Linked DNA regions of Danio rerio. The protein of the gene in region 2 interacts with the protein of the main gene of each other region in a pairwise test. Links are inferred from orthologs where the notes say so. Each region holds a gene or a part of one and is shown on either strand. Other genes may lie near its edges.

Region 1 (7,921 bases), on a different chromosome or scaffold from region 2:
GTATGGAGGTTCGGAAGAAGTTTTTCTTATTATTCTTTTAAAAGAACTTACAAAATATTGTAGTTTCTTTCAACGTTCTTTCCATTTATCCTAAAATCCAGTCATTCAGTTTGAAACAGAGGGTTTTCAGATTTCTGTCGCAATGTTTTCTCCATACTATCAAGTCTCTGCAGCACAACTTACTGCCTAAGTTACTGACTAAATACTTTTTATTAACTACTTGAAATATATATATATAAAAAATCTTAATTCCCCCTACCAAATATTAGTTCAAGTCCAATTTATTTCTATAGCATGTTTCCAAACGGCCACAAGAACAACAAGCAGTACAGAGTAAACAAAACAGTAAATAGGCACATAATGTAAAAGAGAGCATAAAATATGTAAAATAGATTATACAAAAACAGTTTGGTTTCAATGCCTAAAACAAGAAAGTATTTGACCCTTTAAATAATCCCACCTAGTTAAAAGATGCCACCACAGTTGACCACACTAAACAAGATTAAAAACGAGGCCGCAGGCCCCCCGTAGAAGGGACTTATGTTTGAAACGACCTAGAAAATAGACAAGTCTTTAATTTAGACTTAAAAATTTGCATTAATGAAGACATTTTTAATTCCAAAGCCAAGAACTGGCTATAGCGAATGCTTTTAAAGTGGACCTTTGGGACTTTTAATAGAAACTGATCAGCGGAACAAGCAAGTGTTAGGATAAAGAGAAGGATTTTAAATTTGACTCTTTGTCTCACCGGTAGCCAAAGGAGAGTCCTTAAAATGGGAGTGGCATGCATATTTCAGGCTTTTTGTTAAAAATCTAGCTGCTACATTTTGCACTATAGGTGATCGATCTGAGGCAGCCCAAAATAGAAAGAGTTGCAATAGTCTAACCGGGAGGTTCTAAAAGAATGTATGACAATTTCTCAAGAACGTGAAGTGAGGGAAGACTTTATTCATTTCATTGAATTTTAGAAATAAGTTGAAGTTGATAAAAGCTATTTCCAACCACACTTGAAACATGTTTATTAAATTTTAAGTTCTGATCTAATGCAACGCCCAGGATATGTACTTGGGGTGATTTAAACTCCTCCATTTTGCCAAACCTGGGGCGTTTACAAACAACAATAACCTCTGTTTTCTCCTCATTTAAAAATAAAAAATTCTCAGAAAGCCATGCCTTTACCTCCTCCAGGTGCAGTGACAGGGAGTTCACAACAGAGGAGTCATTTTCCTTTTTGACTGACAGATAAATCTGTGTATCGTCCGCATAAAGATACAAATACAGGCCATATTTCTTGAAAATAAAACCTATATAGAGAGAAGAGAGAAGGTGCTAAAATCAAGCCTTGCGGAAGACCACACGTTAACGGTGCCATAGACGAGGAAAAGTTACCAATCTTGACAAAAAACTTCCTGTCAGAGATGTATGATGTAAATCAATTCAGCACTGTACCCCTCAGCACAACCCCAGACTCTATTGCTTATCTTTGGTTTCAAAATCTTGCACCAGGACATACTGCTTTCCGAATCAATCCTCTCAACTATGGCATACTGACCAGTGAATTGAGGGTTGAAATTTGCTTTAAGATTCTTAAATACTATTTCCCCCATTTGAATGGTTTTCTGCATAGTGTAAATTGTTCAGATATATTTTCACATTGTTAACATGTTCCTCAAATGATCATATTCATCCATGCCAATCTGAATAATTGATGTAAAAAAAATCCACTCCACACATGCATTTTTCCTCCAAACACAAGAAATATATATATTATAAATATAAATATATCAATATATACATATTATAAATAAAATATTATCTATTATAAATATAAATATATCTATATATACATATTATAAATATATTATTATCTATTATAAATATAAATATATCAATATATACATATTATAAATATAATATTATCTATTTTAAATATAAATATATATATACATATTATAAATAAAATATTATCTATTATAAATATAAATATATCAATATATACATATTATAAATATATTATTATCTATTATAAATATAAATATATCTATATATACATATTATAAATATAATTTTATCTATTATAAATATATCTATATATACATATTATAAATATAATATTATTAATTATAAATATATCTATATATACATATTATAAATATAATATTATCTATTATAAATATATCTATATATACATATTATAAATATTATATTATCTATTATAAATATAAATATATCTATATATACATATATCTATCTATTATATATCTAAAATATGTAATTAACTAATTAATCTATTAATAACTTTAGGTTTGAGGTTATTATTTGTTCAGTGCTTTGTAATAAACAAACTTAAATGACCAATGAAATGTCAAGAATTGTTTGTGGGCGGGGTTTGTGCTTTGTTGTTTAAACAAGTTTCTTTCTTTCTCTCTTGTAATGAAACACAAAACAGGTCTGATCCGATAAAACTTTTATTAAAGTAATTATCAGCTTTCAACAAGTCAACAATTATCAACAGTCAATAAATAGTGCAATTCTTATTTGGCGTTAAGTTTTAACAAAAATAAATAATTTTCTCTTTTGCTTAATTATCTTTTTGCATGAACAACCCTGACGACATGCAGAAAAAAACATCAACACAAGCTCAGAAAATGAACCTGTGTCCTTACAATTAAAAGTGCTTCGAACATTGACAATACAAAACAAGCAGATCCTATTTACAACTCAAAACCCACCAAACAAAACCTTTAGGCTTGTCATCGAGGTCATCATCATCATCATCATCATCATCTTTCTTTCTTCCCAGCCTTTATGAACATTTCATCATTTGCATATTATTTCATTATGATTGTTATCATTATTTCACTCACTAAACTTGCTGTTTTACTTTTCCTAAAATCAGTTTCTACATTCTTAATCCCTCTGATTCTCTCCCTCTGATTGCCTCATTATTTAATAACGTCCATAAAGTCTTTGACTCATATTTGTCTTCCTGCTTTTCAGCCTCTCTGGGCCTCCTGAGACATTGATCGTCCCAGAGCTCTGGGTGCCTTGGCGAACTCCATCCGCATGGGTTTGACAGGCGGCAGGTCTCTGGTGATCTGTTCCACTGCTCTCTTGTCTGGACAAACTCCGTCAGGGATGCGGACAGGTGGCAGATCCTCCAGGGTGTGTGGAGCTCCACGACCCAGGCGGACGCCCAGTTCTGCAGGCTTGAAGATGGGAAGGGGCAGGCTGTTCCTGTAGGGCAAGAGCTGGTGCTCTCTTACACCCGTATCCACAGTGCCCACTCTGCGCACACCCGACGGACAGGCCTGATGGAGAGGACGCACCTGCCAATAACGGGATAGAGACTCTCGCCGAGAATCGTCTGACATCAGCATCGACTGGCTGGAGAGAGAGAAACATGGAGAATTATAAATGAGAGGGAAGATTTGATATTTTTTTATGTGTTTAATATTAATTTAAGATGCACTAAATATAAATGATCTAAGTTGTTTTAAAAATGTCTAAAGATGCATGGATATTTCACAGAAAATTCTGGTTTTATTAACTTGTTTCTGTTTGAGTTTCTTTATGAATTGCTTTCATCTGTTAGACACAAATTTATTTTGAGGTATGCTGAAAACCATTTACTTCCATAGGATGTATATTTCCTACAATGGAAGTCGATGGTTACAGGTTTTCAGCTTTCTTCAAATTATCTTCTTTTTTGTTCAACAAAAGAAAGCAATTCATTAAGGTTTATAACCACTTGAGGGTGAGAAAATTATGAAAACATTTTCATTTTAGAGTCAACTATACCTTTAAATGATAAATGTAGCCTACTGGTGAGGAAAAACTGCATAGGATTAATAATAAATTTAACTTGTTCCTAATCTTTTTATTGATTTCTGTTAATTTGCTTGATCTTGTTTAAATCATTAATATACATATTTTTCATTAGCACAGCCTTTTTGTGAAACACATGCTTTAAAAAGCAAATAATATTTAATATTTAAGTAGTATAATACAAATAACTACATGATTACTTATTAGAAATCACAACAAAAATATGATTTTCTCACCGATCCTCAGGTTGTGTCTTCATATTGATGCTGCGCCAGTCAGCGGTGTAACTCTCTCTCTTATTTGGGTTTTCCTCCCTGACGCTGCAGCTGAGCTCGGCTCCAACCACACAGCCTCCTTTCTTCTCCAGGACTGAGCAAACCTGCATCTTCAGCTTCAGATTTTTCCTGATTTACAAGTTGGTATATTCAGTGCTTTTTTTCTGTCTCTTGTCCTGGTTGAGTGTGAGCGAGGGACTCCTTTTGCTCTGTCCGCTGGAGTGTGTGTCTCAGGCTTTTATACAACTCTGCAGCTATTTCTGTCTGATGGAATCACCCTGTACACACTGTCTACACATATGTCATCTGACACTCACACACCCACATATCCAAACATTCATACACACACTCTCTAACACAGCGCTGGGATAGGGATATAAGACCTGAGAAATCCCCAACCACTCATATTTCCATGACACATTCTATCTATCTATCTATCTATCTATCTATCTATCTATCTATCTATCTATCTATCTATCTATCTATCTATCTATCTATCTATCTATCTATCTATCTATCTATCTTTCTATCTGTCTGTCTGTCTGTCTGTCTGTCTGCCTGCCTGCCTGCCTGCCTGCCTGCCTATCTATCTATCTATCTATCTATCTATCTATCTATCTATCTATCTATCTATCTATCTATCTATCTATCTATCTATCTATCTATCTATCTATCTATCTATCTATCTATCTATCTATCATTCTGTCTATCTATCTATCTATCTATCTATCTATCTATCTATCTATCTATCTATCTATCTATCTATCTATCTATCTATCTATCTATCTATCTATCTATCTATCTATCTATCTATCTATCTATCTATCTATCTATCTATCTATCTATCTATCTATCATTCTGTCTATCTATCTATCTATCATTCTGTCTATCTATCTATCTATCTATCTATCTATCTATCTATCTATCTATCTATCTATCTATCTATCTATCTATCTATCTATCTATCTATCCATCCATCCATCCATCCATCCATTCATCCATCTTCTTACATACCTACCTGTCTGTCTCTCTCTATATAATTTCAGAGAATGTGTCTTTTCACCTGTCTTCATAGATATCACCATGAAACCATGGATAATAAAACTACAATAAGTTTACATTTTTAAATTAAGCTGTAAAACCCACCCACCCATCCAGCTTTGTTATCAATACCACCATATAGTGATTATGCCAATACAGTTTTTCTCAGTCGCTTTGGTACATTTCTCAGATCAGTATTGAAATTTTGCAGAACAGTAAGTGCATTTCTCAAAACCAACACATACAAATAGCAGAACACCATGGATTATCTGCAAAACCCAGTCTTTTGCTCAAAAACCTTAGTTCATCTCTTAAAACGAAGTTTCTATGTCAATGAACATGTTGTGTCATTGTGTACGGATATGACAGTCAAATTACTTAGCCATGCTGTCAATATAATAGTGTATTCTGAAGGGGTCTTTTGATGTGACCTGTAAAGGGTTTTTCTGATGCTTTTTTTGCTGTTTGTACCGTAATTTGTTGTCAGATCATGTCATTGTGATGAAAAAACCAACACAATCTCACGGCAATTCGTAACTTTTTCATTTAGTGGCTAATTCGTATGAATTCGTATGATCTTATTCGAACAATTTAGTACGATTTGCCCATCTCCCAATGACGGTTGGGTTAAGGGGTGGGGTTAAGTGCCACGCCTCCTTTTTCAAATCATACAATTTCGTACGACTAAACTGACAAAACATAAAATACTTTTCTCGTTAGATCAGGCTGGAAATAACAGCACAAAGAAAAAACAAAAGTAGAAATGTGTACACTGGACAATCTCCTCTGAGAAGCACCTTCATTAGAAAAAGTCAAGATCACCTGGGAGAAACTTATCAATTGTAAACAGATTTAGGAAAAAAAATAGTCAAATTAAAACGTGTTTAGCCATTTTGCATGTAAAGACTTATGCCATGAACAAACGATTTAATGTGATGGGGTCAAAACAGAGATCAAAATAATACATTAATATTATAAATTACATAATGACAATAATTTTTATCAGAGAATTGCACATAATCATTTTACATGGATGTATGCAAGCATTTGCAATTTGATCAAAGGAATGAGATTCTGCTTTTTCGATTTGCAGAAGTACCACACTGATGTGAAGATTGAACAGAATTTCAATTCTGATCTGAGAAATGGACCAAAGTGACTGTAAAAAATGTATAAACTGTATTAAACTATGGCTTAATAAATGGAATATCAACTAATGGATTGTATTTACAAAGTGAGACCAAACATGATTTACTTTTTTATATTATTGAATAAAAAATAAAGTGCTTTTTTGTTGATGATAGATTCTGCAATTCTTTTCCAGTTCAATTTAATATTCATGTTATATATGGTTGAATTTGTTGGTTCTGCAATTTAAGCACATTACATTTCTATAATGATAGATATTCCACTATATTGGTATTAGATGAAATAATGAATTGCTGGCTATAAGTATCAATATGATCTTATGGTGAAAAGATGCCAGATTTATCTATGTATTTATCAGCACTATCTAACGATCGCTCTGTCTGTCTTTCTATCTGTTCTTGTTCTGTCTCTCCATCAAAATCTCTACGGCATTGTGTATTATTGTGACAGTTGTTTCTCCAATGACCTTGCTAACAGACATCATAAGTCTCTCAATGGAAACTAAGCAGTGTTCAGATCTGGAAACAGACATGAGATTATAAACATGTGGCGGCAGTTGTTCCCTGCTGGTAATCTTCTTTTATACTGGTAATCTCTTACAGAAACATTGCTTAAATATAAAAGTCTGCTGCATTTATTAGTAACATAGTATAGCTGGAAAGTTGTAACAACCTTCCACTGGCCACATACTATTATTATCAATAATAATGTCAATAATAGTTAAATCAATGTGTTTTTCTGTACTTCAAACATAGAGTTAATATTAAAAAGCATGGCCAGAGCATGTGTTCAGTGAGTTCTGGCTCTGTGTACACTCATCAGATGAATATAGCGCTGTGTGGACAGAGGATGTGGACGGTCAAGATTCTCATGTTACACACACATTCTGTCCCCTGTCTGTCATTGACTGCTCTGTCAGTGACGCACTGGGACTTTACAGGAACTGACCTCACTCTTCTACAGTCCCCCTCTATGCAATCTGGCCACTCAGCACACTATGGTATGGAAATGTAATGCCAGTCATGAACACAAGCATGAAAGCCAGGAAACCACGTCACATCACTCCAGTAATGAAGCCGTTCCTGTAGATCACTCATGACATACAGTATGCGCTACATTTGTTTATGGCCAAGCATATGAAGTTCACAGGTTTTTTGGATGCTTATGCAAGATGTAAATATGCATATCAATGTATTATAAAAGTTATAGCTTTTTTTAAAGACACTAGGACACATAAAAACACTAACAACTTGTGGCATTACATTGTTTTCTTGTGTAAAACAATCTCTGTTTATAATAGCAATATATATTGTTTAAAACTGCAATATGTTATTGGAATGAATCAGACAAGATGCAGAATTTGTCAGTATTTTGTGTCATTTATTTATTTATTCTTAATTTTAAGTAATTCCAAAATACAAGAATTTGTATACACATCATTCATCATCCACTGATACAGATACAATAGCAATGTGTTAGGAAAAAGGAATGTATTATTTTGTTTTTGTCTCTTTTTCTTTTCATCAAACAAATTAAACGAATAATTGTTTCGGTCATTTAAGGGTCATATATTAACTGAACTTCTACTGCTGTGTGTGAGATGCTGTGCATACTAATTAGCATTTTTG
Region 2 (8,643 bases):
GAAATCTGATGTAAAGCTGAAGTACGAGGGATGTGCATAAATCCAGAGACTCATTTTTGAATGCATATACTTATGGAAATGGAAATATTAATTTTGTTTTGGAGCATACTAGCTTAAAAATAACATTAACACACTAACAAATTCATAATGAATGGCAAATAAAATAATTTATCACTATATAATTTCTGACCACTGATCAGAAAACAAAAAAATAAACGTGGATGTGGCCCATTTGAACTGCTGACCATTAAAGCTCTGGGATACGTGAGCTACGTGATGAAACACAGCTATACAGAATCAATGAGCTTACTTGAAATTATAGCTAAATAAAATATCCAACTTGAAGGCAATTGGTGTGAGGGATAGCAGACTGGTGAATGTCAGTCCTAGCTGTTGGGATTTGATTTACGTTTAGCGGGAGCATGAAAATGCCATTGGTTAGTCAGCAGAGCATTACTCGGCTGCAGTGAAAGTGATTGATCTCACTGACGCCTGGGCCACATAATTACATTGCAACTTTTTGCCTTGTCAGCAAACCAGCTTGGCTCTAACTGCACAGGACTGGGCAGAAATCATCAAGCCTTGCCATGAGCAAAGAACCTAAGTTGGCTAAAAGAGCTTGAAAGCTGTTAAACGTAACTTCATAACAAATGCAGTACGAAAACTGAGCCAAAAGATGAAAATAATGAAATGAAATCAATCAGAGCATGTCTTTTATGTAAAATGAAATGATGATATATGGCTTTATATTCACTTAATAATTGACTTCATAATTAACATAAAAAATAAAGTATAGAAATAGTATAAACTGCAGTAAACTCCACTATTGGTAGATATAATAGAGTTGTTTGACTGAAACAATGACTCCACATGCAATAAATTTCAAATAAAAGAATAATATATATATTAGCCTTTATATCATAATTATCATTTTATTCAATACTTTATTTATTCAAACACATCTTCAGAACTAAAAGGAAAAAGTTCAATTTGTGCGCATAATACTGGTCTGTCCAACTATCAAGAGCGTAGAATTGGCATGGACAGAGGGGACATTGCCTCACCAATTACTGAAATGTCCCCACCAATAATTTAATAGCCTTCAAAATAAAATAATGCTCTGTCAAGCCTTAGTAACCTAAATGTGCTTAAAGAGTTAAATTCATACAGATAATAGGAATAAAATTGTTACATTTTGTCACATGCCTCTCTAAATTTCTGTACATTCATACCTCCTCAAACCAGATTACAGTAAAATCATGTCAATTGACTTTTGCAGCATAGAATTATTATTATTGTTATTTGTATTATTAGGTGTTTAAATGTTTTTAAAAGCATGAAACAGAATTTGTGCTGTTTAATACATTGGCTCTAGGGATGTACGTCTCCACCAATATCAAGAGCCTATGTGTTACTGTGTGTGTCAGAGAGACACAAAACCTTTTTACAGCTCTATAGATAATATTTGTTCTCATGTAGATGCTTGAAAAAAATGATCCAATATATGTATATACAGTATTTTTAAAAACATTTTCAATTACAGTTTTTCTTGTTTGCTTTGACCTGGTTAAAGAAACTAGGTTCTACTTCATTTTCATTATCATTATCACTATCCCAGCAAGTGCAGAAGACAGGTCTTGCAAATGTTTAAACCCTTTCTCATTGGGTTGACACATTTTCCGCACCATTTTTCAAAAAAGTTAACACGGATGTCATTCAAGCATTCCAAACTCCATTGTTTTAGCTATGGTAACCAAACAGAAACCATCTATTCCTAACCATTAGAAACTACCAAGATCAGTATGAATTCACTGAAAGCACCGGTTTGACACACCTTCACACAAATCTTCATTTAGCAATCAGTCTGCAAACATTAAAAATGGTAGAAGGTCTGTGTTGTTCTGTGCCTGCATGGATGGAGGAGGTCAATAGTGGCTATGTCCTACTCACAATAGATTTGACTGTATATTGGTTTACATGTTTTCTCTAATATTTACAGTATTTTATTACTTTTGTCTGTTTTTTTAACAGTATTTCAGTTTTAAGCCACAGTTTGAAAAAATGTCATGAATTCAACATAAATTTAATAAAGGCATTTCTTATTCTGGATCCAATTCTTTGCAAAAAGGCAGCCCAAATAAAAAGACAACAAATGGCATTGGCAATAGGTTACAATGGCAAGCAATGGTGCACTGATTCACACTGAGGTCTGTATTTTGTATTTTGTTGTTCATTGTGTAATGGTTAATTGAAAGAGCTCATATACTTGTTAGCAAGTTGTGTTGTTTGAAGGTTAAAATAGCTTTTGTTGCATATTTTAAATGTTTTGACACGGCATGTGCATTTTGCAACCAAAATGTGTTATTTTGACCATGAGTGCCGCTGTTTAGGCCTGTGTTTTAACTGTTTTAAAAATGTGGAGTTTCAGTTGACGGCTGCATGAAAGCAATCCAAGGAAAACTGTAAAATAAATTAAGCAAAATATCTTATTAAAAGACTTAAACTGCACAAAAATCAGTAGTCTAAAAATCCATATATATTTAAATGTATATATATACCCACACGCAAAAATAATAATATTGTAATGAAACTATATTTATAAAAATAAATCGATCATCAATAGACAGAAGTTAAGGAATTAAATTAACCCTATAAAAATGATATTCATCAAATATAAGGCTGCATCCAGTCAGGAAAGATTAAACTGTTCTGATGGGCTCTAGAGAGGCAGAAACAGGCAGCTATTATTCTGCCAGCTTATTTGCATGTATATTGACTTTGCTAACCTGATTCATGCTTTGCACTTTGCACAACTTGTGTAATAGTATATTTTATAATATGCTTCGCATATAGTTAAGCAAACATATAGTTAATGGATGTGACAGAGAAAAAATGTGTCTCATGTCAAACCCGGCTCTTAAACCAACCTCACAAACTATAAAAGAGAGTGCTTCAATATCTTGAGTTAAAAATGGAAAAGACTGTCTGATAAAGAGCTTGAGCTCAGACACAATTGACGGTGGTCTTTTATTGTGCGTCTGGTCAGGGGACAAGGTCATTTAGAGAGATACCAACACCGAAGATTCACACGTTCCTCTGGGAGTTCTCATTGACAATGCCAGCTAAATGTTAACCACATGTAGCCTACTTGCTTTTTAGAGCATTGAATGGTTTGTAAAGAATTTATTATTTGTTCAACATAAAAACGAGGATATAGAAGATCTAGACTCTGAATTATAGGTGATCAGTCAATAGCAGTGCTGCAGGAACATTCATTTATTCCAACAGCTGCATATTAATAAATTCAAGCTTTTCATTTTGGTTCAGAAATAGTCACTCTTCTACTTAGCATTTATTTCTCCTGTGGGACTTGTGGTATAATTGGTATTCTTTTGAGAATGTCTTGTGTGTTCATTTTAGTTTAATTAAAATGTTTAACCCAAAAAATTATATTGTATGACTGACTACTTGTCGAGGTTTAGCAGCAAACAAAAGAGGACCATTTACCTACCATCCTGACTTGAGTAAGATGGCGCTAGATCCTATTTGCTTGTTGTCCCTTAGAGGGCGCCGTAGTGTTAAGTCGCGTGTTAAACTGTCAGCTGACATCCCGGAAGTTATCCAAGTAACAAACATCGCTGCCAGTTTCTGAACATTTCGTGTTTCTTATTAGTTTAATAGCCTTATTTAGGACGCTGTTATGGAGGGTGCACTGGAGCAGCATCTTGACGATACGTATGTTTAAAAAGAAACCACTTTCTTTTCTTACGCATGTAACGTTACTCGTTTTGCGTCTTCATTTACTGATCTCCTTTCTCACTCTAGGATGAAAAATCCAGCTATTGTTGGGGTTTTGTGCACAGACGCTCAAGGACATAATCTAGGGTGTAAGTAATTTTTATATTTTCCTTAATACTTCCCTTAGTATAGTTTTCCTCTGGTGACCATGATTTGCTTGGTTTACATGTACTGGGTTTTCACTTGCAACAAGAGGTTAATATTGCTTTTAATATTTACACATGTGTTGAAGGTATGTAAAACGTTTTGAATTTTTATTAGTTTGATTTGTTTCTCAAAACAGGGAACGGGTGTCTACTGTGGACAACTTTATAACTGTGTTATTGACCAACTTAAAGTTAACTGAAACAATGGTAAACAAAAAAACATGGTTAACTGGGAGAAAATACAAGCCTATTCAAATGTAATTATGCAAAAAAAATGTAAAGTAAAATTAAATGATGTATAGATATAGTTTGAGTAGTAAAATCTATAATGGCATGTGTAGTATTAAAAATATTAATCTGATAAATTAATTCAACTTGAGCATTTTAAGCCTGCTTTTTCAGTGTATTACCATGTGCAAAACAATATACAATTTAAAACTTTTCAACAAAATATAGGGTTATAGAATTGTGCTTTATATAGATTCTCAGTTGACTCTTTTCCATTTGGTTTCCAGAACTTGAAAATATACTGTAATTCTCAATGACATTACAAATATTTTAATCTCCAGGCCGGGGCTCACTATCTGATGAACATGGAGGAGTTGTATCTGTACTGGCCAAGCAGGCTGCTTCTCTAACCAAAGATGCCACCGACTGTCCTACAGTGTGCCTGGAGTCTGACTGTGGGTAAGGAAAGCTTCTTGACCAGCATCTGTCTTATTTCTATGTATCTTGAGAATTTTTTGATTTGAGAGACAACAAAACAATCTGCAGAAATCGATGACATTAATTAAGAAAGTTAAATGAGGGAAAGTCAGTTAAACAACAATCTTTGAAAGTCATTCATCCCATTATACCTTCCCTCTTCCACACACACCAGTTGTCACTAAAGTGTATATATAGTGACGTGTAATAAGTATTGAAACTATCAAATTGGCGTGTGACTTTCTCAGAAAGTATTCCATTCATTTTAATTCATCAAGGATTAATATTTTGTGCTGGTCATTTGGTTGCTTTAGAACTGTCTTGGATCAATATCACTCAAAACCACCAATAGATGGCGGCAAGTCTTAATGAGTGATTCATTGAATCATTGATATTTGTAGTATGGATATAATTATAGAGAGGCATATGATTTCTTATGAGTTTTTGGGGGTTTATTATTTTAAAAAAAGCACTATTATCAAGTAAATGTTTTTAAGTAATGGTTAATTTTTTGCCACTATCATTATGGATATTCAATCAAAAGTAATGAAAGCAATGGAACCATTTCAATATAATGCATGGCATATGTATTACTAATTAATAGATGTAATTCATCTTTTTTTAAAGTTAATGCGGATGGGTTTAAACAAAGTAAATCAATTGATTTTAACATTATAATTCCTGTACACAGTAGTTAATAAAGATTGAACATTTAACTAAACGGTTTTAAAAATGTCTGCACAGCCACAAATTTGTTGGCAATATGCTAAAAGAATGTAACTTGCCATTAAACAAGAACAACGAAAAAATAAAAGGCGCTCTTTTTTTTTTTTTTTTTAGCATTAATTTCTCACCCATGACTTGTGGAATTGCTATTCTTTTGAGAATGTCTTGTGTGTTTATGGTTGGCAGATTCTTAAGTTGACTGAACTTGCCACCAGCTGTGATTTTTAGAAACTGATATACCTGGAGTAAGCACCGTCTGACCTGGGATAGGGAAGAGCAGGGCACAAAGTAACACTTTTTGGTTTTGGCCAAATAATGAACAAAGTAATGGGCTTAGACAAACCATTTTTTGTACCAACAACACACAAACTGTCTCCTACAGTTTCTGTGCAGTATTGCCAAAAGTGCCAGGAGCAAAAATGTTACTATTTGCCCCAGCAGTGGGGCACGTTGTAACAAACAGAGGGTAAGTTGTAACGCATGCTTACAAAGGCAGATTCCACACAGTTAATTTAATTTCTGTTTACTTTAAATAGTAGCTATATTTCCTCAGTACTTGGCTCAATTTATTTTGTGTTATACATAGCACAGCATGTTTATTTACTTATTTATCCACTTAATGAACACATTTGGATTTTTTTTTTGCATTATTATAAAATGCGTTTATTTGCATTATTAGCAATAAAACTAATTTTTTCTATTAAAAAATATATATTTTCTATAAAAAAATCATGTTTATTTAAAAAGTTCTCAACATTACATTATCAAAAATAAAAAATAAAAATATTCAGTTAGTTTAATTGGTGTCCAACAGTGTGTGGCTTAATTGTAACACCCTGTTACAACTAACCCTGCTGTGTCGTGTTTTCTTCAAAACTGACTAGCAGTCACTGTCTTTTTACATCTTTCAAAATGGTTTCATCTTTTAGCCTAGAAGATGGTAATCACAGCAATATAAGATTTTTTCGTACATGCTTTCACAGATGTTTTTTTAAGTAAAACAAATTTGCTGTAATAAAAAATACTGCAAACTGCTGGAAAAATGGTTTCTGTGTTTCTCGTCCAATTTTCAACAAACTTTTTCAATAATTGGCAGGAAGATGTCTGCCGACGCTGTGGTGAAAATTTTGGAAGCATGCCATGGTTAACCCTGAGCAAAAACCTTAAAATTGTTACATTTTACCCCACGTTACTTTGTGCCCCGCACTCCCCTTATCTATTTAGAGTTCTGGGTATATGTGATTGTAAGTTAGCCTTGCTTTCTGGAATACCCCTCTGTTTTGCTCTGGCTTTGTATATAACTACTTTTGCTGGTGAAAGGGCAAGAAAAGCAGGCAGTATTATGTTATGTCTGAAATGTAACTTAATTTTAGCTTTGTACACAAAAATCAATATCTATTTGTGATCATGCCTATGCACTGACATTTAGGTAAATGGCACTGTGACTTGTGTGCTATTACCCAAGCAACTCGTTTGTTATAATAAAAAAAAACAGAACAATATTTTTGGCTTTCATAACAGCATATTGAGTCAATCTAAATGCATTCTGACAGGCTTCACTGTGTAGTGAATGCTTTTGGTATCTCAAGATGTGTTTTAATTGTAGTTTTGCTAACCAGGTGATAATCTCAAATCAAACAGCAGCTAATTTTAATCTTAAGTATTAAATGGGAATTCTATGTCATTCTGTCATTGCAGGAACATCTTGGTGAGAAGACATGGAACAATTACACTGGCTGTGCATAAGATGGCATCGTGAAATCTGTTGGTCTAAGTTTTTTCAATTTTAAAGATCATTAGTATGCGTTTGATAAGCTTCTGCTGTCAATTGTCGAAACATAGAAGCTCTATGGGTGTGTGAAATCTTGTCTTCCATCATATCAGAAATCGTCAGATGTTTGTTGTCAGTGTTTAATCTAATTTATTTTCCTATATTATTACTTTCTTTCAACCATAAAGCACACTTTAAATGTCTTCACTGCTTTTTTGTTCAAACAGTGAATAAATGCATTAAGGAAATTCACGTGGTTGAGTCTCTGTGGTTGCACAGTTAAGAGAGTTTTAGTTGAAGTAACACAGTGTGTTCAAAAGGGGGCAGCAATTGTAATTGAATCACCTTTAAGAGTATCTATGGTGAGTAACAGTTTATATACATGAATAACAATTAAAAATCAAATGTCGAGACAGATCAACCCTTCAAATTAATTATCATCATCATCTTGGTCAGTAACTACCAATAATAAAAGCTGTGTAATGTAAACTAGTAAAGCAATTTTTTTTAATGAATAACAAATTCAAATTATATTATATTTATATTGTATTATATTTTAGATTGCATTGGTTTGTTGTGTGCAAATAGATGCAGGCAATTATTTTTGTGTGTGTCACTTGTTTGCCTTGGATAACTCGTTCTGCAATAAAGCATATGAGGAAAATTTGAGGGAACTCGGGGTTCCTGAATTTTTTATCAGTCACTCAGACCTGTCATAAAGTGTTCTTCTGAATGCATGTGATGACTCTGGATAACAGTTAACAGCAAAATACCTTAGCTCAGATCTTGACTGTAAAAGGTTCATCATTTTCACTCTAGGGTCAATATAGTTAATCAACCAAGTCTTAATTTTTCCAAAAATTACACCAAGTACGCAGCATGAATGCCAAAAGAAGAAATTGTTTCCCCCTCAATTATTTTGATATATTGTATCTTGAATGCATTGAAATGTTTTGTATGATCTGAATGTGTAAAAATAAAGTACCAAAATAGTACTGAGAGCATGGGGATGCAACATAATCACCATTGTAGTAAATGTTTAACTTGATATTTTTGCATATTGAAATGCCATTAACAAATGTTCAAGCTTACAAAATTTATGAATAGCAGCTCTAAACAGTCGATTAGTTTTTTCCTCAAGCAAAACGAGTGCAGTTTGTGTGCACTTTAATTAAAACACACGTTTTTATTAGTGCCTTTAGGGATTTGTCAAACATTAGAGATACTACCTGAATACCTAAACATTCATAATTTGACCTTGAAGCAACAAAGCTTGGTGCTTTTTACCTCTTTCGAATAGCCACAGTCCAGGAAAACCTCTGAAATTAGTTCCACTTCAATACTTGGCTTGTAGGTTCCGGTCACATGGTCAATAAGTGCACTAGCGGCAGGTCGTTGGCTCTGCACAACCTGAGCGCATTGCATCCAATCTGTGCCGGTCCCAGGGGTCTGAAGTGACCCCCCCGAGACACTCAGACTGGGGGCCAAATTTTCAGA

What was found.
Region 1: the proteins of lamtor5 (region 2) and tcap interact in binary tests that used the Homo sapiens proteins (3 or more experiments, as listed by UniProt). The link is inferred for Danio rerio from reciprocal best matches to the Homo sapiens genes LAMTOR5 and TCAP.

Annotation. Positions count from the first base shown.
Region 1 is NC_133178.1:19,972,526-19,980,446, forward strand, and holds tcap (telethonin), read right to left. Parts: upstream 4,319-7,921; 5' UTR 4,214-4,318; coding exon 4,065-4,213; intron 3,388-4,064; coding exon 2,997-3,387; 3' UTR 2,450-2,996; downstream 1-2,449. UniProt on the Homo sapiens protein: Muscle assembly regulating factor. Mediates the antiparallel assembly of titin (TTN) molecules at the sarcomeric Z-disk.
Region 2 is NC_133183.1:26,632,797-26,641,439, forward strand, and holds lamtor5 (ragulator complex protein LAMTOR5), read left to right. Parts: upstream 1-3,574; 5' UTR 3,575-3,700; coding exon 3,701-3,735; intron 3,736-3,825; coding exon 3,826-3,887; intron 3,888-4,513; coding exon 4,514-4,631; intron 4,632-7,073; coding exon 7,074-7,134; 3' UTR 7,135-7,654; downstream 7,655-8,643. UniProt on the Homo sapiens protein: As part of the Ragulator complex it is involved in amino acid sensing and activation of mTORC1, a signaling complex promoting cell growth in response to growth factors, energy levels, and amino acids.